Linked DNA regions of Anolis sagrei. The protein of the gene in region 1 purifies or fractionates together with the protein of each later gene. This does not show direct contact. Links are inferred from orthologs where the notes say so. Each region holds a gene or a part of one and is shown on either strand. Other genes may lie near its edges.

Region 1 (7,855 bases):
CCCTGGAATATATTGGAGATGGGACCTGAGAGCAGGAGATATGGGATAAATCTTGGAGATGGGACCTAAGGATGGAGGGCAAGAGATTAGGGATATAGCTTGGAGATAGGACCCAAGATGAACAGCAGGAGATATAATAACAACAACAACAACAATAAATCTTGATTAATATCCTGCTTTTCTCCCACAAAGGGACCCAAAACGGCTTCCAACATGTTAAAAATACAACACAAAATCAACAATGATCAAAGACACAGATATAAAACAAAATAAGCAATCAGTAAAACAAATAAGCATTTAAAAACAATATACATATGGGATATATCTTGGAGATGAGACCTAAGATGAAGAGCAGGAGATATGGGATATATCTTTCTAAGTTTGTTATTTTGAGTTGTTCTATAAGTACACCTGATGTTGTTTATTTTATTGCTTATGATTTGATCTGTTACATCAGTATTGAAAGTTTGCCAATTTTCTGTTGTAAACAGCCCTGAGTCCCCTCAGGGAGATAGGGCAGTATAGAAATAAAGTTTATTATCATTATTCTCTTGGAGATAGGACCCAAGGATGGTGATCACACAATCCTTGGTGTCTACTCACTGTTCTGGAGATCTTCCTTTTCCTTCTCCAACCGTCCCACTCGTCGTAAGCTCTCCTTGTGCTTCTTCTCGAATGACTGCTCAGCCTCCTTCCTCTGTTGCTCTTGGGCTTCCTTCTCCTCCTGAAGGCGGACCTCCAAGTCCTCCACCTGCTTCTGGGCAGCTTCCAGCTCTCCCTTCAAAGGGCCCACCAACTCTGTCAGTGTCCGGAGGTGCTTGCCAATCCGGGAAATGTCCTTGCTCTGCTCGGCGGCCCAATAGTCAATGTCCACAACGGACAGGGCTCTGCCCCCAAGGGTCTCCTCTGCGGTCTTGAGGAACTTGCCCAGAGATGATGGGAGGTTTTGGCCTTCGCAGAGGCCGACAATGGCACGGCCCACTTCCTGGAGGCTGGTCTGGGCCTTCTCGCAGGCTTCACAAGGCACTACGGGCGGCTCAGTAGTTAGAGAAGGGATACAGTTGGGGAAGTGTCCATACATTTGCCCACTGGCAATTGACGAGGTCAATGAAGAATCCTGCATGCCCAGTATGGTAACATCTGACTCCGATTGTTGGGAGCAAGAGCTTCTGGTCCGTTTGCTCTCTGCTTGTTCTCTGCTAGAAACATCCTCTTTGTTGCCTTTTTTCTTGGTTAAGAGATAAAAGCAAGATATAAATAAGTAGGAGGAAGAGAAGGAGAGGAGGGGGGAGAGAAATAAAAGAAGGAGGAGGAGGAGATTGAAGAGAGGAGGAGGACAAGAAGAAAAGGAGAAGCAAACGAAGGGAAAGGAGAAGGGAAAAGAACGAAAGTAAGTAGAAGGAGGACAAGATGGTGGAGGAGGAGGAGTAGAAAGAACAGGAGAAGGAGACAAAAAAGGAAGAGAAGGAGGAGAGGGAAGAGGAGGAGGAAAAAGAAGAAGAAGGAGAAGGAGGACAAGGTGGTGGAGGAGGAGGAGTAGAAAGAAAAGGAGAAGGAGACAAAAAAGGAAGAGAAGGAGGAGAGGGAAGAGGAGGAGGAAAAAGAAGAAGAAGGAGAAGGAGGACAAGGTGGAGAAGGAGTAGATGGAAAAGGAAGAGAGGGAAGAGGAGATAGAGGAAAAAGAAGAAGGAAAAGGAGTAGAAGGAGGACTAGGTGGAGAAGAGGAGTAGACAGAAAAGGAAGTGAAGAAGGAGAGGGAAGAGGAGATGGAGGGGGAAAAGCAGGAGGAGGAAAGGGAGAGAGAAAAGGAAAGGGAGGAAGAGAAGGAAAAGATGAAGAGGGAGAAGAGGTATAATTGGCTTCTGAGGTCTGTATGCAAAGCATGTCCCTACCTCCATCACCAGCTGCTGGTAGAGATTCCCCAGTTTCACCATGCTGTCCCAGTATGTCCTCACCGCCAATCCAACAGACATGGAAGGCCCCATTGCTCCGGATGGGGAGGAAGGAGCTCCTTCGCTGATCAGGTTCTCCGCATATTCCGTGAAGCTTTGGAAGAGCAGCAGCAGCCTCAAGGGAGCAGAAAACAAATCCTAGTTATCCTCCTTGGCTTCCAGGTGAGTTCTATCCTTCGGACTGTTCCTCACCTGTCAATGATGAGCTCCAAAAGGAGGACATGGGAGCGCTGGGTGAGTTCAGGATTGTTCTCCGCAAAGCCGTAACGCTCCAGCAAGGAAACCAGGTCCAAGTCGCAGGAGGCCTTATCCGGAAACTTCCACGAAGGACACCGGATGGGTCTGGATCGGGAGAAGACATCAATGACTGTTCCCTGAAGCTCAACGATGTCCCTCTGCAGGCTCTCCATGTTCTTTCAATTGACCAGGAAGGCCACCATCACAAACAATGAGGCATTGATGTTCCTGGAGCAAAAGAAAAGCTTCAAAATGAATTATTATTATTATTATTATTATTATTATCCTATATTTCTCTTTTGATCAAGGCACTAAAGTGACCACCATTATTGTTGTTGTTGTTATTAACTAATACCTTAATTTCTCTCTTCTAATCTTTGGATTGACTCAAAGCAAACACAATAATAATAATTATATTTATATTTATATTTATATTTTATCATGTCATCCGCTACCAGAACATTGTATTACATTCCTAACAGAACAAAACAAACAAACAGATAAAAAAAAACCCCACAAATTTTGCAAACTTGGCAGCTGATTAAATGTCCTTTGACCAGTATCTGGCCACCTGGAGTGCCTGTGGTGTTGCTGCAAGAAGTAACCAATCTTATACACCAATCTTCTCTCTCAATTGAGTCCCAAAGCAGCTAGTCATCATGTTGTCGAAGAGTTTAATGGTCGGAATCACTGGGTTGCTGTGAGCTTTCTGGGCTGTCTGGCCATGTTCCAGAAGCATTATCTCCTGACGTTTTACACCCACATCAATGGCAGGTATAATTAGAGGTTGTGAGGTCTGTTGGAAACTAGGCAAGTGGGGTTTATAGATATACCTGTGGAATAATGTCCAGGGTGGGAGAAAGAACTTTTGTCTGTTTGAGGTAAGTGTAAATGTTGCCATTGGCCAGCTTGATTAGCATTGAATAGCCTTGGAGCTTCAAAGCCTGGCTGCTTCCTGCTTGGGGAATCCTTTTTTGGGAGGTGTTAGCTGGCCCTGATTGATTCCTGTTTGGAATTCCCTAATTTTCTGACGGTTGTTCTTTATTTGTTGTTATGATTTTAGAGTTTTTTTAATACTGGTAGCCAGATTTTGTTCATTTTCATAGTTTCCTCCTTTCTTTTGAAATTGTCCACGTGCTTGCAGATTTCAATGGCTTCTCTATGTAATCTGTCATGGTGGTTGTCTGAGTGGCCCAGCATTGCTGTGTTCTCAAATAATATGCTGTGTCCAGATTGGTTCATCAGGTGCTCTGCTATGGCTGACTTCTCTAGTTGGATTAGTTTGCAGTACCTTTCATCTTCCTTGATTCGTGTCTGGGCAATGCTGTATTTGGTGACCCCTATGTAGACTTGTCCACAGCTGATTGGTATACGGTAGACTCTGGCAGAGGTGAGAGGATCCTTCTTGTTCTTTGCTGAACCTAGCATTTGTTGGATTTTCTTAGTGGGTCTGTAGATTGTTTGTAGATTGTGTTTCTTCATCGGGGCCAGCTAACACCTCCCAACAAAGAATTCCCTCAGGCAGGAAACAGCCAGGCTTTGAAGCTGCAAAGCCATTCAATGCTAATCAAGCTGGCCAATGGCGACATTCACACGTGCTGACAGACAAGAGTTATTTCTCTCACCCCGGACATAATTCCACAGGTATATATATAAACCCTGACAACCTCTGAGCATGCCTGCCATAGATGTGGGCAAAATGTCAGGAGAGAATGCTTCTGGCACATGGCCAGACAGCTCGGAAAACTTACAGCAACCCAGTGATTCCAGCCACAAAAGCCTTCAAACAACACAATAATACAATACTATAATATATAATAGGAATATTGTAATATAGTAATACTAATATATTAACTATAATTGCTACTGATAATATATAATTATAAGATACACTGATTTATTGTATTTTTGTATATTTTAAGTTTTATGTTTTTGAATCTCCATATGGAGAGATATAGAGGGATATAAATCAATAAAATATATAATAACACATTACATTATAAAATATATAATAGAGATATAATTAATCATCATCATCATGTTAACATTCCTGTTTTGTCCAATAGAATAATAACAGTGGGTATTCTGGACTCAGACCCAGCTGCTTTGTCCAATGAAGAGGCCTTCTGAGGGAAGAAGTCCAAAAAGCCTGGAGCCCAAGATTGGGAAAACACAACTCTAGGACTATGTATAGAAATAATATATTCAAGAAATGCTTCGTATTCATGTTTCATCCTTAATTGGCTGAATGGCTCATTTAGAAAACGGCACGCCGTTAACTGTGTGTAGTTACCTACGGAATGCCCGCCTCTTACTGCTAGCAGGCTTCTTCTCGCGTTCTAGGCCTCGGCTGCTGCCATGGCAACGAAGAACGCTTCCCTCGCTCCGCCCCTTTTATTATAGAGAGCATAACATACAATTGATAAAAACTTCCGGAAAGGGGAGTGCATGTACCTAAAGGGGGCGTGGCTATGGTTACCAGGAGGAGGGGGCGTTGAAAGGGGCGTGACTTCCCCGTGCAGCTGGGATTGCAAGGGGAAGGGGAGCGCATGCGCTTAAAGGGGGCGTGACTACGGGTTTCCAGGAGGAGGACGTTTAAAGGGGCGTGGCTATCCCCGCACAGCCCCCTCCTCTTGTGGGCGGGGCTGTTACTGGCTGCGCGCGCACCCGTCGCCATTTTTCTCGGTCCTATCGCAGCTGTTGGCGTCTTTCTTCTCCGCGGTTGTACTCCGGAGCGAAGTGAGAGTCATGCCGGCGGGGCCCGTCCAGGTGATGGCTCCGGCCCAAGCCACGCCGCCCGAGGCCAAACAGGTATTTCTTGCTCGGGAAGAAAACGACTCTTTTCCCCCTTTAACCCACCTCAAGGCAGAGCCGCCATTCCCATGATGCATTGCGGGGCGAGGGGGGCTTTTCCCAGGGCGCTTTGCGCGAGGGACTTGAGGGCCCCCGTGGGATCATATACACACCTGTATTATATATTATACTAGCTTGAAAGGGGCATTGTTTGTCTTTGGATGTTCGGTGGGGTTCAAAGAGATCTCTGAATATGGGTGAACTACAACTCCCAGATTTCAAGGTTAATCACTCCAGAGTCCACCAGTGTACAAAGTTGGCCACGTTGGATCTGTATGCCGAGCCTGGTCCAGATCCGTACTCGGCTGGGTGCAGTGCTCTCTGGATAAAGGTGAACTACAACTCCAAAATATCCAGGTCAAATCCCCCAAAATTATTATTATTAAGTTATTATTAAACTTTATTTGTACCCCGCTAGCATCTCCCGCAGGACTCGATGCGGCTTACAAAGGCCAAGGCCTCAACACAACAAGAACAAAACAATAACAATACCATTTAGAGTAAATTAAAACATAAGCAATAACAAGACAATACATCAATTACAGAATAAAAAACCAGGGCCAGGCCAGTGATGGGTACAGGTTAAAAAGTGCTGGGTGTGGCAGGTGGTATGTTGGATTTCCGGGCAAGTGCAATGCACAGAGAGCCTTAAACTCGAATAAAGTGCTTCTGGGACATAGTGCTGGAGATTATCCTATTCCAGAAAGGCACATCGGAATAGCCAGGTCTTCAGATTCTTCCTGAAGACTGCCAACATGGGTGCTAGTCTAATATCTTTGGGGAGGGTGTTCCAGAGTTGGGGGCAACCACAGAGAAGGCCCTGTCCCTCGTCTCCAGCAAACACGCCTGTGACACAGGTGGGATCGTAAGCAGGGCCTCTCCGGATGAACAAAGGGATCACGTGGGTTCATACACGGAGATGCGGTCACGCAGGTAGGCAGGTCCCAAACCGTTTAGGGCTTTGTAGGTAAGCACCTGCACCTTGAATTGGGTTTGCTAGGTAAACGGCAGCCCAATAGAGCTCCTTAAACAGGAGGGTTGATCTCTCTCTGTAAGGAGCGCCAGTTAACATCCTGGCCGCCGCCCGTTGAACCAGTTGGAATTTCCGAGCCATTTTCAAGGGCAGCTCCACGTAGAGCGCATTACAGTAACTTCTCCAGAAGTACACTGGCAGCAACAACGTGTGTCAACCAGTGTAACAGCAAGGCAAAACATTCACATGGAACAATCAGAAAGAAAGATCAGCGTTTAAATGGCAGAAGTACAAAGATGTGGCAAGGAAGCACCAAGCGAAGAGCCAGAAGCCTCCTTTTCTTCTTCCTACTTCCCTCATTCCAGCCCCCCTCCCTCTCTCCATGAAGCCAAACAAACCAGGAATAAAAACCACACAAAACCAACTAACCACAAATTCCTCAAAGTGGACATGAGCACAAGGCATGAAGGCTGCTCTCTTGAAGCCCTGGCACTTGTTCTTAACTGGAAACATTGCTTGTGTGTCAAAGCAAAACCAGGGCCGAGCAACAATTCTTAATTCTAAATGCTCCTAAATACTCCTAAGTTGGGGCACTCTTAAGTAGAGATTCCACTGTATATATTTTTGGCTGGAGTTAAAAATGTGTGTGTTCTGACTTACAAACAAATTCAGCTTCAGAACAAACATACGGAACTGTTTTGTGTGTAACTTGGCGGCTGCCTGTTATAGCATTGTTGATGTTCACAATGTGGATGGTATTGATATAACTTATTATTGTCATTATTATTATCTAGTTCAGGAAATGCAGGTTCTTGTCCACTGGAGGGCCATGTCCTTGGCTGTTTGTTATCATTGTGATTAATCTTGCTGTTATTAATTCTTCACATTGCTGGAACTGGAGGCTGCTTCACCCGCAGTTAAATGTGTTTAGAATAACAGAAGAAGATACACAGGCTTAGAGACAAATCCTTAAAAAGAGTCTTGGCCTGGGATTGAGGAAAATGCATGTGCCCACTCACCCACCCCCTGCCATGAATTTCATGGATGGCTAGAAGTTATTATGTTGTTGATGATTATGATGATTCAGTTCTGTCCCACCATTTTGTTATGTTAATTCTCATTGCAGCCAGAAGATGAGCCAAAAGAGGAGGCAGTGCCCGCCAAGCCGGTGGTGGGCATCATCTACCCTCCGCCAGAGGTCAGGAACATTGTGGACAAGACAGCCAGCTTTGTGGCCAGGTGAGTGTTAGTCTTCTGTTTCATAGGAATCAATAAAGAGGACAGTTGTGGCTATGTCTGGCTATATGAAATTATATATATATGATATTAAAATATTCTATTTAAATGCACCATATTTAAATATATGACCTATAAGTGACAAGTATGTAGGTATGAAGGGGCAGTTTTAATCTCAGTGGGGAGGGAGTTCCAAAGTTTTATACAAATAAATAGAAAATATTTTATATTGTATGTTTTGATGCTATTGCAAACCGCCTTGAGTCCGTTGGAGAAAGACAATCTGGAAATTTCCTAAATAATAAGTTAATAAATGTTATTTAAATACAATAACAATAAATGACACATTTCTAGTATATATAGAGTTTAAGTACGTGTTTTTATAGTCATTTATGTAATTTTTTATTTTCAATGTTGTGCTTACAGGAGAAGTGGTATGAAGGGAGTGGTCTCAAATGTTGTGTATATTTTTGAAAACCAAGTGAAAACATTAATAGAAAAATAGATATATTGGGAGAAAAATTAAGTGAATAATAATAATCATAATAATGGGTGGGGAAAAGGGGGTTACTTGCTCTGCATTTGGGTGAGATGTCTGACTTTG
Region 2 (7,975 bases), on another chromosome or scaffold:
TATAAATATGTGAAGGGAAGTCGTAAGGAAGAGGGAGCAAGGAATGAAAGTAGACTATCATTGATTTTACCTTGTGGCGATGCTGATAACAGATAATTCTAAATTATGGAGATTTATATTTTATATGTATTTTAATCTACGCAATTTTGTCTTATATTATGTGTTTTATATTATATGTTTTGATATTTTGTGAATGTTAAAAATAAAGGTGATGGTGATGATTATTATTATTTTTTGCTGCCCTAGAGAATAGGACGCAGAACAATGGCTTCAAATTACAGGAAAGGAGATTCCACCTGAACATTAGGAAGAACTTCCTGACTGTGAGCGCTGTTCAGCAGTGGAACTCTCTGCCTCTGAATGTGGTGGAGGCTCCTTCTTAGGAGACCTTTAAGCAGAGGCTGGATGGCCATCTGTTGGGGTGCTTTGAATGTGATTTTCCTGCTTCTTGGCAGGGGGTTGGACTGGATAGCCCATGAGGTCTCTTCCAGCTCTATGATTGTCAGATTTTATGTAACATTGATAAATGGTTTTAAAGGGTCTGCAGAAGGTTTTGCTTGCAGGAATCAGCTTTCTGAGACTCTCAGAAAGGTGTCATGGCTTGCTAAGGGGATAGAGAAGTGTGTGCCAACTCAAAGTTTCATGTAATAGTATATGGCACATTTGTCATTGGATATATGAAGCACAGACAGCATGTGTATCTGGTTCAAATGAAGCTGATTTTTCCCATGTATGAAACACAGGCCCCATCTCCAATGCTATATAATGCAGTTTGAAACTTTATTATACGGTCAATGTAAAATCATATAATGAAGTTCAATGCAGATAAACTGCATTGCAGGCCTGTGCAGATGGCCCCCAATACTTTCTATCTGATTCCTTAGCTTTCCACTTACAAATGGTCAACATGAAGCAGGAGTGAAAGATCCAGCCTATTTGTGGGACCGCATTTCCCCTATGAACCAACTCGGGCCTGAAAGTCCTGGGGGGGGGGGGGTGGCTTCTCTACACTTGATCTTAGCCAAAAGGCCGAGAAGCGATGGTCCCAACACCCTCACAAGCATGGCTGATGGGAATGAGAAAGGACCTTCTTGGTGGTGGCCCCCCAGGTTTGGAATGCTCACCCGAAAGTAATCAGACAACTAACTTTAGGAAAGAGCGAAAAACTTGAATGCGGAAGCTGGCTTTTGAAAATGGTTGGTTGCTTTTCATTCTGATGGTGGTTTTTTAGCTTTTTAGCCTATTGACTCCATGTTTTGAAACCAAGTACCATTTTTAATCTGTTATTTATTTATTGTGATACTTTAAAAAAATTCTTTTATGATTATTGGTTATATATAAGGTCTTGCAAAGATACAGAATGGGGGACGCCTGGCTTGAGAGCAGTATGGGTGAAAAAGCTATTGGAGTTCTCGTGGACAACAAGTTAAACATGAGCCAACAATGTGACGTGGCGGCAAAAAAAGCCAATGGGATTTTGACCTGCATCAATAGGAGCGTAGTGTCTAGATCTAGGGAAGGAATGCTACCCCTCTATTCCGCCTTGGTTTGACCACACTTGGAATATTGTGTCCAATTCTGGGCACCACAATTGAAGAGCGATATTGACAAGCGGGAATGTGTCCAGAGGAGGGCAACTAAAATGATCAAGGGTCTGGAGAGCAAGCCCTATGAGGAGCAACTTAAGGAGCTCAGCATGTTTAGCCAGAAGAAGAGAAGGCTGAGCGGAGATATGATACCCATGTATAAATATGTGACAGGAAGTCACAGGGAGGAGGGAGCAAACTTGTTTTCTGCTTTCCTGGAGACTAGGACGCAGAACAATGGCTTCAAACTACAAGAAAGGAGATTCCTTCTGAACATGAGGAAGAACTTCCTGACTGTGAGAGCTGTTCAGCAGAGGAACTCTCTGCCCCGGAGTGTGGTGGAGGCTCCTTCTTTGGAAGCTTTTAAACAGAGGCTAGATGGCCATCTGTCAGGGGTGCTTTGAATGCAATATTCCTGCTTTTTGGCAGGGGGTTGGACTGGATAGCCCATGAGGTCTCTTCCAGCTCTTTGATTGTCAGATTTTATGTAAAATTGATAAATGGTTTTAAAGGTGTCATGGCTTGCTAAGGGGATAGAGAAGTGTATGCCAACTCAAAGTTTCATGTAATAGTATATGGCGCATTTTGGCGCTTTTTGGCAGGGGGTTGGACTGGATGGCCCATGAGGTCTCTTCAAACTCTATGCTTGTTGTCTTTTTGGTTTCTACTTATGTATGTATTGTGACTTGATTCTGTTGTGAGCTGCCGCAAGTCCTTGAGGACGGGGGGGGGGGGTATAAATAAAGGTTATTATTATTATTATAAAGGTAGTCGCTTTTTCAGCAGCCCATTTGACGACACTTGATCCTTAGGCCCCATTTGACCATTCAATGCAGTTTCAACAACCCTGGTATGGAAGAAAATGGGTTTCGTTGACCAAATGATTACAAAGTTTGAGACCTGGGTAGTGATTAAGGGCTTCCTTTCGCGTGGTTTTGTGGGAGTTTCGTTGTCTGGCCGCCGCAGTTCAGTGTAGATCAGGCCTCAGCCTGGCTACAACAAAGAGGCCGCGAAGCCTGGCTCCAGGCCTCTCAATGCCTCGTTCTCTAAAAGGGAGGCTAAAAATAACGCGTAAGGGAGGGCCAATGGCGCTGAGCGTTCTCCAAAACCAGATGAGCAACATTCGCCTCCCACCACCCTCTCCCCTCAGTGGATTCACAAAACAACGAAGGCCAAAGAGAGAGGAGGAGGAGGGAGGGAGAGAAGCGGCGCCTCCCCTCCCGTTCTCTTCCCTCGCCCCGGCTCGGGTCTTACCCGTCGGAGGCGAGCCGCTTCTTGTTGGAGCCGTAGTCGTCCCCGAGGTCGAGGCGGTGCCGCTTGGACATGGCGGGAGCTGAGAGCCGAGGAGGCCGCCGCCGAGCCAGAGAGCGAGGAGCTAAAATGGCGGCAGGAAGGAAGCAAGCAAGCCAGCGCCGGCCGCGAGGCGAGCCTTTCCCAGCGTAGAAAGGGAATGCGGTGCAGCGCGTAAGACGTCCGGCCGGAAATTCTGTTCCCTAGCATTTCCGTTCCGCTCTGCAGAATAGTTCCTCCTCCGGTTTATTTTATTTTTTTATATCCCGCTTTGTCTCTCCATACGGAGACTCAAAGCGGCTCACAATCAAAAACATTACAACTTAAAATATGCAAGAATAAGACATTATGTCTTATTGTAAATTGTCAGTGGTAATTATATTTAATATATCAGCATTACTATATCACAATATTTTTTATATATTGTTAGATTGTATTATGGAGCTGTCTTCATAGACTTGTCAGCGGCCTATGATACTGTGAACCACCGCCTCCTCCTGAGAAAAATGTATAACCACCTCACCTGCCTCATAGGAAACCTGCTACAAAACAGGAGCTTTTTGGTTGAGTTCCAGGGCCAGAGAAGCAGATGGCGGAAACAGAAGAACGGCTGCCTCAGGGGAGCGTGCTTGCTCCATCCATGTTCAACATCTACACCAATGACCAGCCACTGCCAGAAGGGACAGAGAGTTTAATCTATGCTGATGATCGTGCCATTACTGCTCAAGCAGGGAGCTTCGAGATGGTTGAACAGAAGCTCTCCGAAGCTCTAGGTGCTCTTACTGCCTATTACAGGGAAAACCAACTGATCCCTAATCCATCTAAAACACAGACATGCGCCTTTCACCTTAAGAACGGACAAGCATCCCGAGCTCTGAGGATCACCTTGGAAGGAATCCCACTGGAGCATTGCAACACACCCAAATACCTGGGAGTCACTTTGGACCGTGCTCTGACCTACAAGAAGCACTGCCTGAACATCAAACAAAAGGTGGGCGCTAGAAACAACATCATATGAAAGCTGACTGGCACAACCTGGGGATCACAACCAGACACAGTGAAGACATCTGCCCTTGCGCTATGCTACTCTGTTGCTGAGTATGCATGCCCAGTGTGGAACACATCTCACCACACTAAAACAGTAGATGTGGCTCTTAATGAAACATGCCGCATTATCACGGGGTGTCTGCGCCCCACACCACTGGAGAAATTACACTGCTTAGCCGGTATTGCACCACCTGACATCCGCCGGGAAGTAGCAGCCAATAGTGAAAGGACCAAGGCAGAGACATCTCCTGCTCATCCCCTGTTTGGGTATCAGCCAGCACGTCAACGACTTAAATCAAGACATAGTTTTCTTAGATCTACAGAGACACTCGCTGGAACACCCCAGCAAGCGAGAGTCCAAAAGTGGCAGGCCCAAACCCAGCACCTCAATTCATGGGTGATACCAGATGAGAGACTCCCCCCTGGGCACTCAGAAGACTGGGCGACTTGGAAGGCGCTGAACAGACTGCGCTCTGGCACCACGAGATGCAGAGCCAACCTTGAGAAATGGGGCTACAAAGTGGAATCAATCAATCAATCAATGATTTATTACGGTCTTTGACCAGCACAGTACAGAATGGGGCATCGGTGCCCAAGGGAGGGAATCGCAGTTCCCAAGTAGATCAAGTATAAAAGCAGATTAAAAGCAGATTAAAAACATGTTATAAAAGAGACAAATTAAAAAGATAAAACAGACTAAACTTACAGTTTAAAGTGCATGTATGAATCTAAAATAGGGGGCGGCTAATAGCAAATATGGGAAGCTATAAAAGGGATGAGAGGGGAGCATTTACAGCATTTCAGTTATTACAAACCATTCTATCTATATTCCCGGCAGGAAGTTGCCTGGTGGAGTCGGTCATCAGCCATCTAATGTTAATTGCTGCTGCACAGAACTTGGCAACACTCTAGGTTGTTGCAGAGCAAGAGTCCGAGAGCAGCAGGGAGGTGTAATATCTTTCAGTGCGCCCTGGATGTTTTAAAAGCCATGGAGTGATGAAATTAGCTCTAATGTCTCTATAGAACACACATTGGAGGAGCACATGTTCAGTTGTTTCGATGTAGCCAGACTCACACGGGCATAGTCTCTCCTGAGCAGGGGTCTTCCGGTACCTCCCCTCCAGTACTGCCGATGGAAGGGCGTGGCATCTTGCCAAAGTGAAAGCTCTTCGGTGTTTAGGCACCTCCAGGTTAGCTAAGTAAGGCATGGGAGCGATGAGATATCTGCTATCTTCGCTAATGGTGAATGCTGGAGAGCAGGCTAAGTCTGATTGTCGCTCTGTATCCAGGATCCGTTGTCTAATAAGATCCTTGGCTTGGTCCCATCCCATACCTAGCAGTTGTCCTTGAGAGAAGCCTAGAGTTGCGATTTTGGTTGCCACTGCCTTATTCCATGTAGACTGAAATTCATCTCTCAGAGTTAATGGGGCAAGGCCACATGTTGAGAAAGACAGATGCAGCCAATAATTGAGGGTGGCTGTCCACACTCTCGCCTCCACTCTCACAAGGCCTGTCTCTAATCGCAGGGTGGCGTTTGAGACACATCTGGGGACCTGCATCGCCGATCTTAGAAATTTTGATTGTACTTGCTCCAGAGGGGCATAGTTTGTGAAGGGACCAAGTTGGGCTCCATACATCATTTGTGCTATGGATTTTGCCTCAAAGAGCTTAAGTGCAGCTGGTATGTAGTGGCCTCCTCCTGTTTTGAGGAACTTTAGGATAGCATATGAGCTCTTTTGTGCTGCCTCTGCTACGTAATCCATATGTACTTTCTTGTTTCCTGTGCGGTGATAGAATACTCCCAGGTATTTAAAGCTGGAGACCTGTTCAATATTGTGTCCATCTAGTCTCCAGGTATGATGCTTGGGTCATTTCGCAAACACCATAATTTTGGGTTTTTTTATAATTAAGATGAAGCTGTTCTTCATTACAATATTTTGTTAAGGCTCTCAGGGCTCTTCTCAGGCCTACTTGAGTTCTGGATAGTATCACTGCATCATCTGCATAAAGCAGGGTAGACACGTGTCTTCCTGCCAGTTTTGGAGGGTGGTAGTCCAAGTTGTAAAGGTGCTCCACCATGGAGTTGATGTAAAAGTTAAATAGAAGTGGAGCCAAAGTACATCCCAAAGTACAAAGTGGAATCCTCGACATGCGAGTGTGGAGAGGAGCATACCACTGACCACCTGCTGCAATGCAACCTGAGCCCTGCTACATGCACAATGGAGGACCTTCTTGCAGCAACACCGGAAGCACTCCAAGTGGCTAGATACTGGTCAAAGGACATTTAACCAACTACCAAACTCACAAGTTTTGTATTTGTCTGTTTGTTTGCTTTGTTCTGTTAGAAATGTAATATAATGGATTGTTTGCTGTGACACAACAAATAAATATTAGTATTATATTGTATCACATTATATATTGTCAATATTGTATGTATATACAATATATATTATTAGCATAGCACAATGTTAGTATTATATATTACTATATTGCACTATACCACAATACTGCAATATTATTACTAATATTACATGTAATATATAATATACAATTATTATTTAGTTAGGTAAATATTTTTTCCCCTGACATTAAGTCCAGTTGTGTCTGACTCTGGGGGTTGGTGCTCATCTCCTTTTCTGAGCCGAAGAGCCGGTGTTGTCTGTAGACGCCTCCAAGGTCATGAGGCCAGCATGACTACATGGAGTGCCATTACCTTCCTGCTGAAACTACTAGGTTGGCAGAAGCTGGGGCTAACAGCAGGAGCTCACCCTGCTTCCCAGATTCAAACCCCTGACCTTTTGGTCAGCAAGTTCAGCAGCTTAGCGTTTTAACCCACTACACCATCAGGACATTATTATATATTATTATATGATAGTATATTATTTTACCAATATATATATAATGCATTACCAGTATAATATACTATTTTATTATATAATGTATTGCACTATATCATAAGATATAGTATACATAATACTGTATATAATATTGCAACATTATTAATATTATATATAATATAATAGTATTATTACATCACAATGCTGTTATTCTATATATTATTATATTATATATATTGAGAGGCTTCCAAGTGATGCTGTGGGAGACTTGGTTTCAATTGGTTCCAACAGCAATCTATCTATCTATACACACACACATAAATATATATTAATTATGTAAAATAATATAATGTTATCTATATACATACACACACATACATATAAATTATTATATTATATTGCATTATTAATATATAGTGATGCAGCAGGTTAAATGGCTAAGCTGCACAACTTGCTGACCAGTTGTTCAAATCCATGGAAAGGGTGAGCTCCCATTGTTAGCCCCAGCTTCTGCCAACCTAGTAGTTCGAAAACATGCAAATGTGAGTAGATCAATAGGTACTGCTTTGGCAGGAAGGTAACAGTGCTCCATGCATTTGGTGCTCCATGTCTTCAGCTTAGAAATGGAGATGAGCACCACCCCCCAGAGTCAGACTGAACTCTTAGAGTCAGGGAAAAACTTTACCTTATCTTATAATGACAGTAGCAGGAGAAGAATGCAAGAAGACTATCTGTAGCCAAAAAGAAAACAAAGTCACATCAGATGACATGCTCAGTTCTTCAACAGTTAAGGACAAGGGAGAAGCAACAGTGAAAGAAATATAGACAGTGTCTTGAACTCCAAAGTTCAGTGGCTTGTTAACAAGGACAAAGAGGACAACTGTATTACAATAACCATTGCAAATAAAAAGACCAAGACAACAAAACAAAACCTGGGAATCTCTGGAACAAGATCCAAGAAATAGAAGAGAAATTTTGGCCAAGATTATTGATACTATATGATCAACAAGGGAACACAAGGTATGATCAAGAACAAAGTGGTGGAAGCATTGCATTGAAGAACTATACTAAAAAGATGTTTTTCTAGCAAGAGCAAAGGATAAGCAGGATCGCATCAGTTCCAAGCATAGGATAAAGTAGATACAATAGTTTGATGGGGCACCAGCACTATTTGGCACAGAAAGTTGAAGACTTTGTAAAACTCCAACTCACCTG
Region 3 (7,652 bases), on another chromosome or scaffold:
GGTAATATTGCCACACATCCCTGAATAGCTATTTGAGGTTCATTTGAAGGCAATGGTCCTTCCTCATATATTGGAGCTTTTTGATGAACAACAGATATTTAATAAGGGCATATGAAAACAACAATGTATGGAACTACACTACAAAGTCCCTTTCAAGTATTCATTCAACACTCTAAAACAGCAATGCACTGATCTGCCCATTTGGGGTAAGTCATCAATCTCTATCTGTAAGAAATCATGCCAGCACAGCTGTTCAGACAATGTTGCTTTATAACATATACACACACATAAGTCTAAAAACTTTACTTAAAAAGATGAATCCCCCCAAAACTGAGTTGACATACATATAAGTCAACATAAACACTGTACCTTAAATGCAATTTAAAAGGGGGGGAGCATCCTTTTCTCTCAGTAGTGGCAAAAGGTAAGAATGTAGTCTGTCCCGGGATAACCTAAAAGAAGTGCCAAACCCTTTCTACTCTCTCTTTGTCTGAAAGAATAAACCTTGCCCAAAGTCATCTAGTTAGGTTCCATCGCCCAGCAGGAATTTGAACCCTGGTCCTAGTCTAACACTCAAACCACTACTACACCATGCTAGTTATTAATTAGTTAATAGTTGAAAATACATAAAGAACTATATTTACACACACACATTTTAATATTTTAATGGGAATTATTGTAGTAACATGAATCTTGTTGTTTCTTTAATTTTATGTTTATACTTTTTATTTATGGGTTAGAACTGTTTTATTGGTATGATTTTATATTTATTGTTAACCACCTTATGTCCTTATATTGGTAGAAAGGTAGGAAAAAATAAAATAAACAGATGAAAAAAATCCTCTTCAAATGAACCTTTGACAAAGAAAGCTATCTTGTCCCATGGCATCTCTATGTCTGAAAATCAGAGAAAAATGTGGATTTTTAATGAAGTGAAAGGTAAGAAGGACAATGCTTGCAAGATGACAATCAGCAAGCTATTTAAGCATCAACCAGACAATTAAGACCAATACCAAGGATATTCTTGTTTATAACAATGGAAGGGAATCTTATGGGCTACCCAGTTCCTCACTAAATTCACTCATGTAGGAATTCTAGAGCTAAAGCATCCTCAAAAATAGCTCTCCAGTTCGGTGAGGACTGCCAGCAAAAAAGAGTCCCTCATCTTACTGATTTTGTTTCACTAATAAGATGATATCATTCAGCATAAGTATTTTTTTATCTACTGTGGTTGCAGGCTACAAGAACTAGAAAAAACATGCTAGGACTGTATGGCTCCTTGCTGCCTGGCACAACTAATAGTATCACCCCAGAAATCTAGGAAATCATTCTCATTATCAAACTGCTCTTATCAGTGAGAAGTTTCCCCAAGAGTCAAGTTTGAAAACTTCCCTCCTGCAACTTATGTGGACTAGATTGTCCTGTCCTGGAGGGACCAGAAAACAAGTATCCATCCTCTCTTTTGTAACAGCTCCATAGCTTCAACAGGACTAGTAAACTATTTAGGCTTAAAACCTAGATCATTATGGCTAAAGTTTTGTTATTGTGTGTCTTCAAGTCATTTTCTGTGACTGTGGGCCTTCCACGCAGCCAAATAAACTAGAATAACAAGGCGGAATACCCTACAATATTTGTTTTGAATTGAGTGATCTGAGTCCACACTGCTATATATCCCAGTTCAAAGCAGCTGTGTGGAAGAGGCCCGTATCACAAAGGTCAGTCGGCTGAAAGTGTGTGCTTGGCTCAGGATAACCCAGTGGGTTTTCATGGATTCGAACCCTGGTCTCCAGAGTCATAGTCCAAGTTTATGTGTGTGCATGTGTATATATACACAGAGAGATACGTATGTAGACACAGCAGGACCTCAGAAAAACCATGTGCAGGATTATAAAAGAACCCAATACTAGTCAGAGAAATCCCAAAGAAACTTTGACTGCATCTAGACCAGTGTTTCCCAAACTTTTGGTCCTCCAGGTTTTTTGGACTTCAACTCTCAGAAATCCCAGCCAGTTTACTGGCTTTTAGGAATTGTGGGAGCTAAAGTCCAAAACACCTGGAGGACTAAAGACTGGCAAACACTGGTCTAAACCGAAGAAGTAATGCAGTCTGACCCCACTTTACCTGCAATGGCTCAATGCTATGGAATCACGGGAGTTGTAGTTTTACAAGGCCTTTGCCCTTCTCTGCCAAAGTGATGCTGCCTCACCAAACTACAACTCCCAGGATTCCTTGGCACTGAACCATAGCAGTTAAAGCAGTCTCAAAATACATTAATTCTACAATGTAGATGAGAATAGGAGAAGCATTGCAAATAGAAGCCCAATATAGAAATCCCTAATTCAAATTTCATGTTTACCACAAATGCACGTGGAGACCTGAGAAAAGCTGCTCTTTTTAACAAAACCCCCTCGGAAATACAGGGCTTAAAACAGAGCAATGCCCATTAAGGGCTATGGAGTGGAAAGAGCAGAAAACCCGACGCAAGTATAAGCCTTTCATTGCCCCAAATCAACAATTCGAGTTGCCTTGATCCCTTTTCGACCAATGTACGGAGCCCTTCATCCATTCAGGCGGGAATTCCAGAGCAAACCTCCCATTTGCTGCAGCAAAGCAGCCGAAGTGCCTGGGAGCTCGGCCTCCATAGAAACGGACACAAAGAACGAGGCAAACCGCGTAACCTTTTCACAAGTCTCTATGGAAATGCACCCCAAGTGCGCCCGCTTTGCCTTCCCATCACTCTTCTTAAACCAGAATAGCCCTGCCTGGCACTCTTTTCTCGGCCGACTTTATGAAGGGGAGACAAGACACAGAGTGGGGCCGAAAGGGGAATGAAAGCGGTTCACTCACTGGAGCATATGAGGGACATGGCGAGCGCCTCCTCGACATGGGCCTTACGGCTGCTTCCGGGCCACTAGAGCGAAGGGGAAGGTTCTGCTTCCGGTCGCCTTTCAACTCGAGCTGCAGCGCGCGCGGGAGAAGGTTGCCCCGGCCGGAAATGGACCCCTCCGACTTTCCTCGTCACGTGCGCTGCCAAAGCCGCAAGGCCTAACGGTCCCACGCGAGTACTTCCGGTTTGGGCTGAGCGTTCCGTCAACTACAGCTCCCAGCATGCACCGCGGACACAGAGCGCCTCTTAGAGGGGAGCCGCACGACCGAATTGTAGCGCTTGACACGGGTTTGACTGAAATTGCTCAATCCCGTAGAATTCTGGGATTTGAAGTTTGTTGTGGCAAAGAAGCTCTCTGGCAGAGAAGAGTGGATTTCTCACAAAAAGACAAAGCCCAGATACCTATAGCTTTTAGCCAAGGCAGTTATTATCATTATCCTGCAGAGAGCCAAATAATACACCAGAGGGAGCAACCTCTTTGAAGTTAAGCAGGGACAGCCCTGGTTAGTGCTTGGATGGGAGACCGCCGAGGAATACCAGGCACCGTAGGTTATATCTCAGAGGAAAGAACTGGCCAAACCAAGAAGAAACCTGCGAAATCTATGAGGTGGTTTGAAGGCGCGTACATGCATGGATTTAAACATTAGGCCTATGTCTTCAGTTGCCTCTTGAATCTTCCTTCCCCCTTTTTACAGAGGCATTAAGGAAACAAAGGAAGAAGGGTAGAATTTTAGTTGAAATTGTGTTTGGATAATAAGGATCCCATCCAGATGTAGAAGGTAGAAAGAGCTTGTTTGCCCTAACTCGAGGTCTAAAATTACAGCTTCTCAGCATTCTAGACTACAAAACATGAAATTTCTACATGCAGCTGCACTCTATAATTCACAGTTGTGATCTGAGGAGTCCATACTTCAGGAAATAAAGCCCAACTGCTCATTGGAGGGAAGGATAGTAGAGGCAAAGATGAAGTACTTTGGCCACATCATGAGAAGAAAGGAAAGCATACAGAAGACGATGCTGGGGAAAATGGAAAGAAAAAGGAAGAGGGGCTGACCAAGGGCAAGATGGATGGATGGGATCCTTGAAGTGACTGGATTGACCTTGAAGGAGCTGAGGGTGGTGACGGCCGACAGGGAGCTCTGGCGTGGGCTGTTCCATGAGGTCACGAAGAGTCAGAAACGACAACGAATGAACAACAACAATCAGGAGAGGTCTGCATGGGGAATTGGCTGCTGTCAAGTTGAGTTCGACTTATGGTGGCCCTATGTATATGGCATTACTAGAGCTTAAAGAGTAGGCAAAGCATCTGAAATCTTGTGCTGCCTCCTGCAGAATTCCAGGCGTTATTTATTTATTTGTCCCATTTATACACCTTCTCAACCCCATAGGGGACTCAAGGAGGCTTACATACACAGGGAGTTGTAGTTCAGTGAGACCCAGGACCTCTCTGGCTGAGCATTTAAAGGCCCCCTCCCCTAAACTACAAGCCCAGCAACCAACTAATGTCACCCTTCTTAAATGAACTGGGGGTCCCAAGTACACTTACCATTTAATGCAGTGTCAAACTGGTATTGAAGAAAATGCTTGCAATAATCAGAAATGAAGTCCCCACCCCCAAGTGCACTGTAATTTGAATAAATCTGCAATGATAAACCAAAGGTCAAGTCTCAAAAATATGTCAGACAATTCAGGAAGCAAAATTGGATCATTGAATGGATTGAGATTAATATGGGAATTAGATTTAGGGTTTAAATAGAGGAGAAAATGGAACTCAGTTTGGAAAATCCAATCTTATATATCAATTTCAGCACAACTGAAAGAAAATACTCTGAAAATTATGCATAGATGGTACCATTATCCACTCAAACTACATAAAATCAATAGAATCTTTACTTGGAGAGTAATATGGGATCAGAGAATAATATTGGATCCCATACTGGAGAGTAATATGGGATCCCATACTGGAGAGTAATATGGGATTGGAGCCACATGTGGCTAATGTGCATAAAGTATGGAGATTCTGGGAGGAAGTGCTATCATGCATAAGCCAAGTAGTGGGGAAACTTCACTTCAGGGGAGCTCTATAAATGATTTCTGGGTATTGTTTCATTATGCACGCGGGGGCCAGCAGGGGGCACTAGAGAGAGAAGGATAGTCCATTTGGGGGGAGGAGTGGGGAAAGAGAGAGGGGGAATAACCAGCAAAATGGGGGAAGTGGTTTTCCTCCTTCAACTCCCCCCTCCCCATAAAATAGACTATCCTTCTCTCTCTACTGCCCCCTGGTGGCCTTTGTCTGGATAATGGAACAGTACCGATTTGGGTATTCAAAAGTGAGAATAAGGTTCTGTGGTAAATAATAAAAAAATACTACTCCTGTTATGTGTCACAAGACTCAAAATTGTGAAAACCTGGAAAAAAGTTAGAGGATCTGACAATAAAGAGCTGGTTAAACGGGATGTGGGTGATAACTCTATAAGAAAAGTTAATTTATAAATTAAGATATATAAATTAAGATTAGCAAAAAAGTGAATTGAAAGAAAATCTATTTGATAAAACCTGGAAACCATTTATTAGTTTCATGTGTAAAAGCAATGGCGAATTTAAACCACCAAACGTCCAAGAAGGATTGTGGATGAGTAATTTATGAATACATTACAATAAAAAAGCAAAAAGATTTTTAAAAGAAGAAAAAACAAACAAACTGGTTTTGCTGTGCAGACGATTACATAGGAAGTCCTGTAACCAATTTTGAGCCCGGATGGTGATGACACAAACCACAGAGCACTTATACATAGAGACAATCTCTTAAGATTATATGGATCAGAGTTTCCTCAAAATTCATCAAATGCACAACGTAGTGGAGGGAAAGGATTAGAGCAGATTTTTTTAAAAAAAAATAAATTAAATAAATCTGACTCTATAAGAAATGATTAAAGGTGGACTGCTGGGTGTAAGGTGACTGGGATTTAGTTTGTAATGTATTTTAATGTTTTTATATTTGATGACACAAAGGGTTTAATCGTGTTTTTATATACTTATATTTTAATTCATTTACATTTATTTAACTTGCATTGTACCCTATTTATCATTATATATCAGGAGAAAGGCAGGATAAAAAACAAAATAAGTAAATAAAACAAATGCACAGTGTTTACATTTTTATATTTGCTTTCCACTCCCTTCTTGCAATTTCTTTCTTGCAAATTTTTTCTTGCAAAGTGTTGGTTGCTGTGAATTTTCTGAGCTGTATGACCATGTTCCAGAAGCATGGTCTGACATTTCGCTCATATCTATGGCAGGCATCAGAGGTTGCGAGGTCTGTTGGAAACTAGGCAAGTGGGATTTATAGATCTATGGAATGTACAGGGTAGGAGAAAAAACTCTTGTCTGTTTGAGGCAAGTGTGAATGTTGCAACTGGCCAGTTTCATTAGCATTGAATAGCCTTCCAGCTTCAAAGCCTGGCTGCTTCCTGCCTGGAGGAATCCACTCAGGCATGGGCAAACTTCAACCCTCCAGGTGTTTTGGACTTCAACTCCCACAGCTGGTTCAACTCCCCCCCCCCCCCCCGGCTGTTAGGGATTGTAGGAATTGAAGTCCAAAACACCTGGAGGGCAGAAGTTTGCCCTTGCCTGTGTTAGCTGCCACAGATGTGGGCAAAACACTAAAAAAACCAGGGGATATTATTTATTTATTATTTGTGATATTTGTATACCGCCCTTCACAATCCCGAAGGGGATTCAGGGCGGTTGTGTGTTGGCAACAATTCAATGCCATCGATAAAAACAGTATAAAACATTAAAACTGGCCCTCCTCTAATAAAAAAATAAACATTATTAAACACAATACATAAAACAGCATTACCTATCACACAGAGACATAGCTGGAAATCCAGACAGGAAACAATTGGGGCCAGCTAACATCTCCCAACAAAGGATTCCCCCAGGCAGGAAATAGCTAGGCTTTGAAGCTGCAAGACTATTGCAACATTCACACTTGTCTCAAGCGGACAAGAGTTCTTTCTCCCACCCTGGACATTCCACAGATATATAAACTCCACTTGCCTAGTTTCCAACAGACCTCACAACCTCTGAGGATGCTTGCCATAGATGTGGGTGAAATGTCAGGTGAGAATGCTTCTGGAACATGGCCATACAGCCCGGAAAACCCACGGCAACTCAGTGATTATGGCCATGAAAGCCTTTGACAACACAAAAAAGCAAAACTTGGGGAATTGAGAGGAAGAACTGAGACTGCATCTAGTGCAATCAAACCCTACTTTGTCCTCCGGATCCCCTGTCCTGATACATTACATTGATCTCTCACCCAGAGTTTTAAAATTTTTTTATCTTTTGCAATTGGCCCTGCCCACTGTGATCAATTTTCTATGTTCGAATGTTCTGATTTTATATTGTCTGATGTGTTTATTTATATTGGTTCTTGTACTTCATTTTTTCTTTTTCTTTATTTTTTGCTGTGTTACTGTGTTATATTGTTTCACTGTATTGCTGGGCTTGGCCTCATGTAAGCCGCCCTGAGTCCCCTTGGGGAGATGGTGGCGTGGTATAAAGATTTATTGTAATTATTATTATTATTATTATTATTATTATTATTATTACACTAGCCATCCCCTGCCATGCATTGCTGAGGCCCAGTCTGTGTATATGTGGTTTTGTGTGTGCATTATATTTTTATTTTTTTGGCATTTTAAGTCTCTTCCACTGTGTTTCCAGTGTCTTTATGAGTGTTGGTCACTCGTTGGCCTGA
Region 4 (6,824 bases), on another chromosome or scaffold:
GACCTCTGAACAAACCTCTGAGGATGCCTGCCATAGATGCAGGCAAAACGTCAGGAGAGAATGCTTCTGGAACACGACCATAGAGCCCAGAAAACACAAAACAAGCCAGTGATTCCAGCCATGAAAGCCTTCGACAAGACATTAAACATTCCATTTCACTGATGAAAACTGAATTTGAGCTAATAATTCTCCAAGCCTGGTCAGTTGTAAGGCAGATTGGGGTATGGGGTGGCAACCTGTGCTGGATGGGGTCACACTCCCCCTGAAAACACAGGTCTTAAGTCTGGGGGCTCTCCTGGACTCATTGCTAAGCCTGGAGGCCCAGGTATTGGCTGTGGCCAGGAGGGTCTTTGCACAATTAAAACTTGTGCGACAGCTGCAAATGTATCCTGAGAAACTGGACTTGGCTATGGTGGTCCGCATCTTAGTTACATCCCATTTAGACTATGTGGGGCTGCCCTTGAAAAGTTCCCAGAAACTCCAACTAGTTCAGAGACCTGCAGTCAGGTTGACAGGTGCTGGACCCAGGGAGCATACCACCACCATTACAGCACCTACACTGGCTGCCAATAAGTTTCCGAGCCCGATTCAAGGTGCTGGTTTTGACCTTTAAAGCCCTAAATGTTTGAGGCCCAACTTACCCCACCACCAGCTCAATAGACATCTTGAGCAATGATCAATCTATTTGCCCCCATGGAACTGGGAAATTGATGCTTCTGTTTGATGTTTTGTCTAATGTCCGATCTAATAGGTTGTGTTTTTATTTAATTTTAATTATTAAGGCATAATTTGTTTTTATATGTTGAGTTGCCAAATTTTGTTATCATGGGTGTGTTGTTGTTGTGTTCGGGCACTGAATGTTTACCTTTTATGTTTCGAATCTGCCCTGAGTCCATCTGGGAAGCATTATGTCCTCAAAATGCACTTTACTACTGCTTTAGGATTGATTGCGTTCCCGCATTCTCTCTGAAAATCCTATCCCAATTATATCCTACCTTGTTCACATCAGCATTATTTTTTAATTTTAATCTATCACATTTGGCCCGGCCTTTGGTTTTAAATGCTTATATGTTACTGTTGATTGCTTATTGTCTATTTTGTTTATGTGTATTGATTGTTTATTGATGTTTTATTTTTTGATGTATTGCGGGCTTGGTCTCATGTAAGCCGCACCGAGTCCCTTGGGGAGATGGGAGCGGGGTACAAATAAAGTGTTATTATTATTATTAAGACAGGGTGAAATATAAATAGTTTTTATATTTTATTATTATTACCTATCTGACCGCATCACCTCTTACCAACCTGCCTGACCATTAAGACAGTGGTTCTCAACCTGTGGGTACCCAGATGTTTTTGGCCCACAACTCCCAGAAATCCCAGCCAGTTTACCAGCTGTTAGGATTTCTGGGAGTTGAAGGTCAAAAACATCTGGGGACCCCAGGTTGAGAACCACAGCATTAAGATCTTCCAGAGAGATCCTTCTCTCATTACCGCCCTCACAAATATGGTTGGTGGCAACGAGAGAGAGCCTTCTTAGTAGCCGCCCTGGCTCTTTGGAACTCCCTCCCCCTTGAGATTAAAACTACCTCCTCCCTGTCATCTTTCAAGAACCATTTGAAGACCTACCTGTTCAAGCAGGTTTTTGATGAATGAATTCAATTGTTAATGATAGCAAGGTTAATTTGCACTGAGCTGAGCAAAATATACCTTTTAATTGATGAGTCTCCGCAATAATTGTAATCTGTAACCCGCCTTGAGTCGCCGTATGGTTGAGAAAGGCAGGCTACAAATGTCGTAAATAAATAAATAAATGGTATAAAATGTTTTTAATGCTTAGTATTTATTTCTGTCTTATTTCTGGACATTATTATGCTTTGTGTGGTTTTTGTCTTGTATTTTATGTTAAATGTGATTTGATTTGTATTATGTTGTGAGCTGCTTTGGGTCCCGTTAGAGATAAAAGTGGGATATAAATAAAGATTATTATTACTGCTTGGGAAGAAACCCCCACTGGAGCACTGCAGCACACCAAAATACCTGGGAGTTATCCTGGACTATGTTCTGACCTAGAAAGAGCACTGCTTGAATATCAACGTAGAAGGAGATACGTTCGGACATGTACGCTGGGCCGGAGCCGTAAAGCGTTTTGTAGGTCAAAACCAGTTTTAAATAAATAAATAGATGCAGGCGAAATGTCAGGAGAAAATGCTTCTAGAACATGGCCATATAGCCCGAGAAACCTACAACACCCCAATTTTGTTGATACTGACTGAACAAAATATTAATAATAATAACTGCTACATTAACATTGTGCTTAGTTAAAGGCAGCTACCTCAGCAATCAGTGACAGGTGTCGCTTCTACCAGACTTTTTATCCTTACCTTTGCTTGGGTGAGTGCCGCCTTCTTCACTTGCAGCTGAGACTGCAGGAGTTTGAAGTTTTTGGACCAGCCTTCTGTCTTGGAATCGCTGGTCTCCACTCCCAAGTCATCGTAGAGCGACATTTTGGTTCTGCTTCAGAGCTAGGAAGGGAAAAGGCAAGGGAGAATAATCACAGCATCACTTAAAATAGGCCTGGGCCAACTTGGGCCCTCCAGGTGTTTTGGACTTCAACTCCCACAATTCCTAACAGCCGGCAGGCTGTTAGGAATTGTGGGAGTTGAAGTCCAAAACACCTGGAGGGCCCAAGTTGGCCCAGGCCTTGAGGCTTTATGGCTGTAATAAGGCCCTAGCTTCCTCCCTGGCAAGTACCCCTTATCCAGAACTCCAAAATACTCCAAAATAATATTATCCCATGTATACAATGAAATCTAATGGCCTCCAGTTTTTTCTTACCCTTCCGCACACAAGGCCTCAAAGCCGGGGCCTCGAGTAAGGCCCGAAGCCGAAGGAAACGCCTCCTCTGTGGGGGTAGGAGAAGCTCCCGCGTCACGGAGGGAAAGAACCAATCAGCGTCCTTCCCCGAGAGCGCCTTGGCGTGCCTCTGAGCGTCTCAACGGCGGGACGCAGCGGCTGCGTAAACTTCGTAGCGCAGGAGGCGGAGCTGGGCTACAGGCTTCACACGCTGAAGGTAAGACCTACGCCAGTTCCGTAAACTGGCAAAAAGGCTAAGTTAGTGTTTACTCTAACTACGCAGCAAAGGGAATAGGGGAAGATTCTCCACTGACACCTAAAGGCGCATAGCTGCAACTGCAACTCAGGAAATACTTTGATATTGTACTCCATTTATATGTAGTCCTAATATAGTATTCTTTATTACTATGTATATTGTTTATATTAGATCTGATATAGTAGCTTCCATTACTATGTATATTTATATTAGATCTAATATAGTAGTTCCCATTACTATGTTTCTTGTTTATATTAGAATATAGTAGTTGCCATTACTATGTATATATTACATCTAATATAGTATTTCCTATTACTATGTAATTATTTATATTAGATCTAATGTAGTGATTCCCAATATTGTGCATATTATTTATTTTAGATCTAATATAGTAGTTCCCATTACTATGTATGTTTATATTACATCTAATATACTACTTCCTATTACTATATTATTTATATTAGATCTAATATAGTGATTCCTACTATTATGCATATTATTTATTTTAGATCTAATATAGTAGTTCCTATTACTAAGCATGTTGTTTATATTATGAGATCTAATATAGTGGTTCCAATTACTATGTATATTATTTCTATTAGATCTAATATAATAGTTCCCATTACTATGTATCTTGTTTATATTAGAACTAATATAATAGTTCCCATTACTATGTATGTTTATATTACATCTAATATAGTACTTCCTATTACTATGTATATTATTTATATTAGATCTACTGTAGTGATTCCCACTATTATGCATATTATTTACTATAGATCTAATATAGTAGTTCCCATTATTATGTATCTTGTTTATATTAGATTTAATATAGTAGTTCCTATTACTAAGCATGTTGTTTATAAGATCTAGTATAGTGGTTCCAATTACTATGTATATTTTTCTATTAGATCTAATGTAGTGATTTCCTCTATTATGTATATAATCAATTTATTTTAGATCTAGTGTAGTGGCTCCAACTATTATGCATATTATTTATATTAGGTGTAATATAGTGGTTCCAAATGGTACATATATTGGTTATATTAGCCCTAATACTGTATATATCTGGTTCACTGCCATGATTTGATGATGGATAACATCTTGAAAGTTATAAGTATCTGAGCTTCTTGCTGTTTCAAGCTTTCAATACTACAGTTAGCCATCTAGTTGCTAGGGTTAGGGGATCAAAACCCTAAAAGTGAAAAAAAGCTATAAATAAATAGAAAAGTGTTATTTTTTATTTGAGAGAACATCTAGGGATTTTGGAGCTCTGCAGTTAGCTTTCACTTGCACTGAAAGACAGAGATTTCTAGACCTTATTAACAAAATCTGCAAGTGTGAAGGACTACCTGTGTAGATATAGATCTATTTCTGAGCATGGCTCTTTAAAAGTCTCATAAGATTATCCTAAATTGAAGCTGGCTTGATGTCAAACTTGATACTATAGATATGTATAAAATCTAATTTAGATTGTTTCTGAATTGTGTGACAAACTGTTAATAATGGTTCAAATGGACTAAGTATTTTAAAAAATTAATCTATGCTGCTGACAAAAAAATAGATCTACACATTAATAAGTTAATATTAGAGCACTAGGTTCATCGTCCTCATTTAGGATTATTTTAAATATTATTCATAATTTTCATTTTAATATCCTTCGTTGTCATAATTTTCTGTGTGTACTACAAATGTTAATGTGGGTCATTTTAATACATGATTTTATAATTTCAAGGTTTCCTATTTGTCTTTCTGTACCATGTTGTAGATTGTAAGTGGAGTTACAAATATATAAAATAATGCAAATTTGTCACTACATTGTTCTCTTTGTTCATTTAAAGAAGGTAGATTTCCAATGGGGCACTATTTTTTTTCTGAAAAGGGAGTAACAAGCCAGATAAGTTTGAAAATCTCTGATTTAAGGTATTGTCAAAGGCTGATTTAAGCTCTGATATATTTAGTCGCATGGGCGGGGGGAGGTTGTTTAAGGGCAATTAATGCATCTGTAGAACCAATGCAGTGTGAGATAAAGACCAAGGGGAAAGGAACAGACCCAGACTTATTCATAGTTAGTCATATCTACTGAAAGCTTTGAGGAATGTTAGTTGCAACCAAACTAAATCCTACTGGTCCCAGTTGTTATATTTTAAGAAGGACTTTGTTGTTGTTTATTCATTCAGTCGCCTCCGACTCTTCGTGACCTCATGGACCAGCCCACACCAAAGCTCCCCCTTGGTCAGTTCCTTCAAGGTCAAGCCAGTCACTTCAAGGATATCATTACAGTTACAGGGAGTGGTCAACCCCCGTTTAAACAGCTCCATTTGCTGCCAATAAGTTTCCGGTCCCATTATAAAGTTCTAAATGGTTCAGGGCCTGCCTATCTTCATGATCGCATCTTCCCCTATGAACCAGCACATACCCCAAGATCATTTGGGGAGGCTCTTCTCTCGCTTCCACCTCTGTAGCAAACACGGTTGGTGGGGACGAGGGAAAGGGTCTTCTCTGTGGTGCCCCCTGGGCTCCTGAAGGAGATCAGATAGCGGCCAGTCCAGCGGAGTTGTTGGTGGAGGACCATCGCTTCCGTGCTGGTGGTCTTTGCTACTTTCAGCATGCTGACATTTGTCCTCCTGTCTTCCCAAGAGATTTGCTGGATTTTTTGGAGGCAGTACTGATGGAATTGTTCTAGTTGCATGTGACGTCTGTAGACAGTCCACGTCTCACAGGTGTATAGCAGGGTTGGGAGGACAATAGCTTTATAAACAAGCACCTTGGTATCCCTACAGATGTCCCAGTCCTCAAACATTCTCTGCTTGATTTGGAAAAATGCTGCACTCGCAGAGCTCAGGCGGTGTTGTATATCAGTGTCAATGTTGACTTTTGTGGAGAGGTGGCTGCCAAGGTAGCGGAAATTGTCAACATTTTCTAATAATAATAGCTTTTAGGAATCCTGAGCCTGAACTCACTATTGTTGTCAGCCACAATATTGGTTTATGATGTTTATCTGATTATATTATTTCATTGTTTTTAGACATTGACTGTATTTTTGTGTTCGTTTTTAATCTGTATTTGCTGGCCATGTCGCTTGTAAGCCACCCCGAGTCCCTTCGGGGAGATGGAGGCGGGGTATAAAAATAAAATTATTATCCATCCATCTTGCCTCTGGTCGGCCCCTCTTCATTTTTCCTTCCATTTTCCCCAGCATCATGATCTCTTCCAAAAATATTCCATCTACTCATGATGTCGCCAAAGTACTTCTAGGAGTTGCATGTGACGTCTGTAGATAGTCCACGTCTTGCAGGTGTATAGCAGGGTTGGGAGGACAATAGCTTTATAAACAAGCACCTATGGATGCCCCGGTCCTCAAACACTCTCTGCTTGATTTGGAAAAATGCTGCACTCGCAGAGCTCAAAGTACTTCATCTTTGCCTCTAATATCCTTCCCTCCAGTGAGCAGTCAGGCATTATTTCCTGGAGTATGGACTGGTTTGATCTTCTTGTGGTCCAAGGCACTGTCGGAATTTTCCTCCAACACCACAGTTCAAAAGTGTCTATCTTCCTTCGCTCAGCTTTCCTTATGGTCCAAGCTCTTACATCCATAGGTTGCTACGGGGAATACCATTGCTTTAAGAAGCAATAAAGAGGACTAAATAATTCAGAAGGACCAAATCTCCTCAAACCCACGAAGTCCTAGTTTGCTGAACAAGGATTTAACTGT

Evidence for each region.
Region 2: the proteins of SF3A1 (region 1) and DHX15 purify together in Homo sapiens (co-immunoprecipitation; 5 studies listed by BioGRID and IntAct, with this or other methods). This does not show direct contact. The link is inferred for Anolis sagrei from reciprocal best matches to the Homo sapiens genes SF3A1 and DHX15.
Region 3: the proteins of SF3A1 (region 1) and PRPF19 fractionate together in Homo sapiens (co-fractionation; 3 studies listed by BioGRID and IntAct, with this or other methods). This does not show direct contact. The link is inferred for Anolis sagrei from reciprocal best matches to the Homo sapiens genes SF3A1 and PRPF19.
Region 4: the proteins of SF3A1 (region 1) and RBM17 purify together in Homo sapiens (affinity purification with mass spectrometry; 4 studies listed by BioGRID and IntAct, counting the BioPlex papers as one, with this or other methods). This does not show direct contact. The link is inferred for Anolis sagrei from reciprocal best matches to the Homo sapiens genes SF3A1 and RBM17.

Annotation. Positions count from the first base shown.
Region 1 is NC_090034.1:48,544,708-48,552,562, forward strand, and holds the start of SF3A1 (splicing factor 3A subunit 1), read left to right. Parts: upstream 1-4,837; 5' UTR 4,838-4,937; coding exon 4,938-5,000; intron 5,001-7,141; coding exon 7,142-7,254; intron 7,255-7,855. Other genes in the region: CCDC157 (coiled-coil domain-containing protein 157), read right to left, coding at 604-1,228, 1,893-2,067, 2,145-2,362. UniProt on the Homo sapiens protein: Component of the 17S U2 SnRNP complex of the spliceosome, a large ribonucleoprotein complex that removes introns from transcribed pre-mRNAs.
Region 2 is NC_090025.1:112,388,398-112,396,372, forward strand, and holds the start of DHX15 (ATP-dependent RNA helicase DHX15), read right to left. Parts: upstream 3,022-7,975; 5' UTR 2,912-3,021; coding exon 2,841-2,911; intron 1-2,840.
Region 3 is NC_090021.1:235,751,253-235,758,904, forward strand, and holds the start of PRPF19 (pre-mRNA-processing factor 19), read right to left. Parts: upstream 3,015-7,652; 5' UTR 2,867-3,014; coding exon 2,848-2,866; intron 1-2,847. UniProt on the Homo sapiens protein: Ubiquitin-protein ligase which is a core component of several complexes mainly involved pre-mRNA splicing and DNA repair. Required for pre-mRNA splicing as component of the spliceosome.
Region 4 is NC_090025.1:190,047,402-190,054,225, forward strand, and holds the start of RBM17 (splicing factor 45), read right to left. Parts: upstream 3,001-6,824; 5' UTR 2,836-3,000; intron 2,523-2,835; 5' UTR 2,505-2,522; coding exon 2,382-2,504; intron 1-2,381. UniProt on the Homo sapiens protein: Splice factor that binds to the single-stranded 3'AG at the exon/intron border and promotes its utilization in the second catalytic step. Involved in the regulation of alternative splicing and the utilization of cryptic splice sites.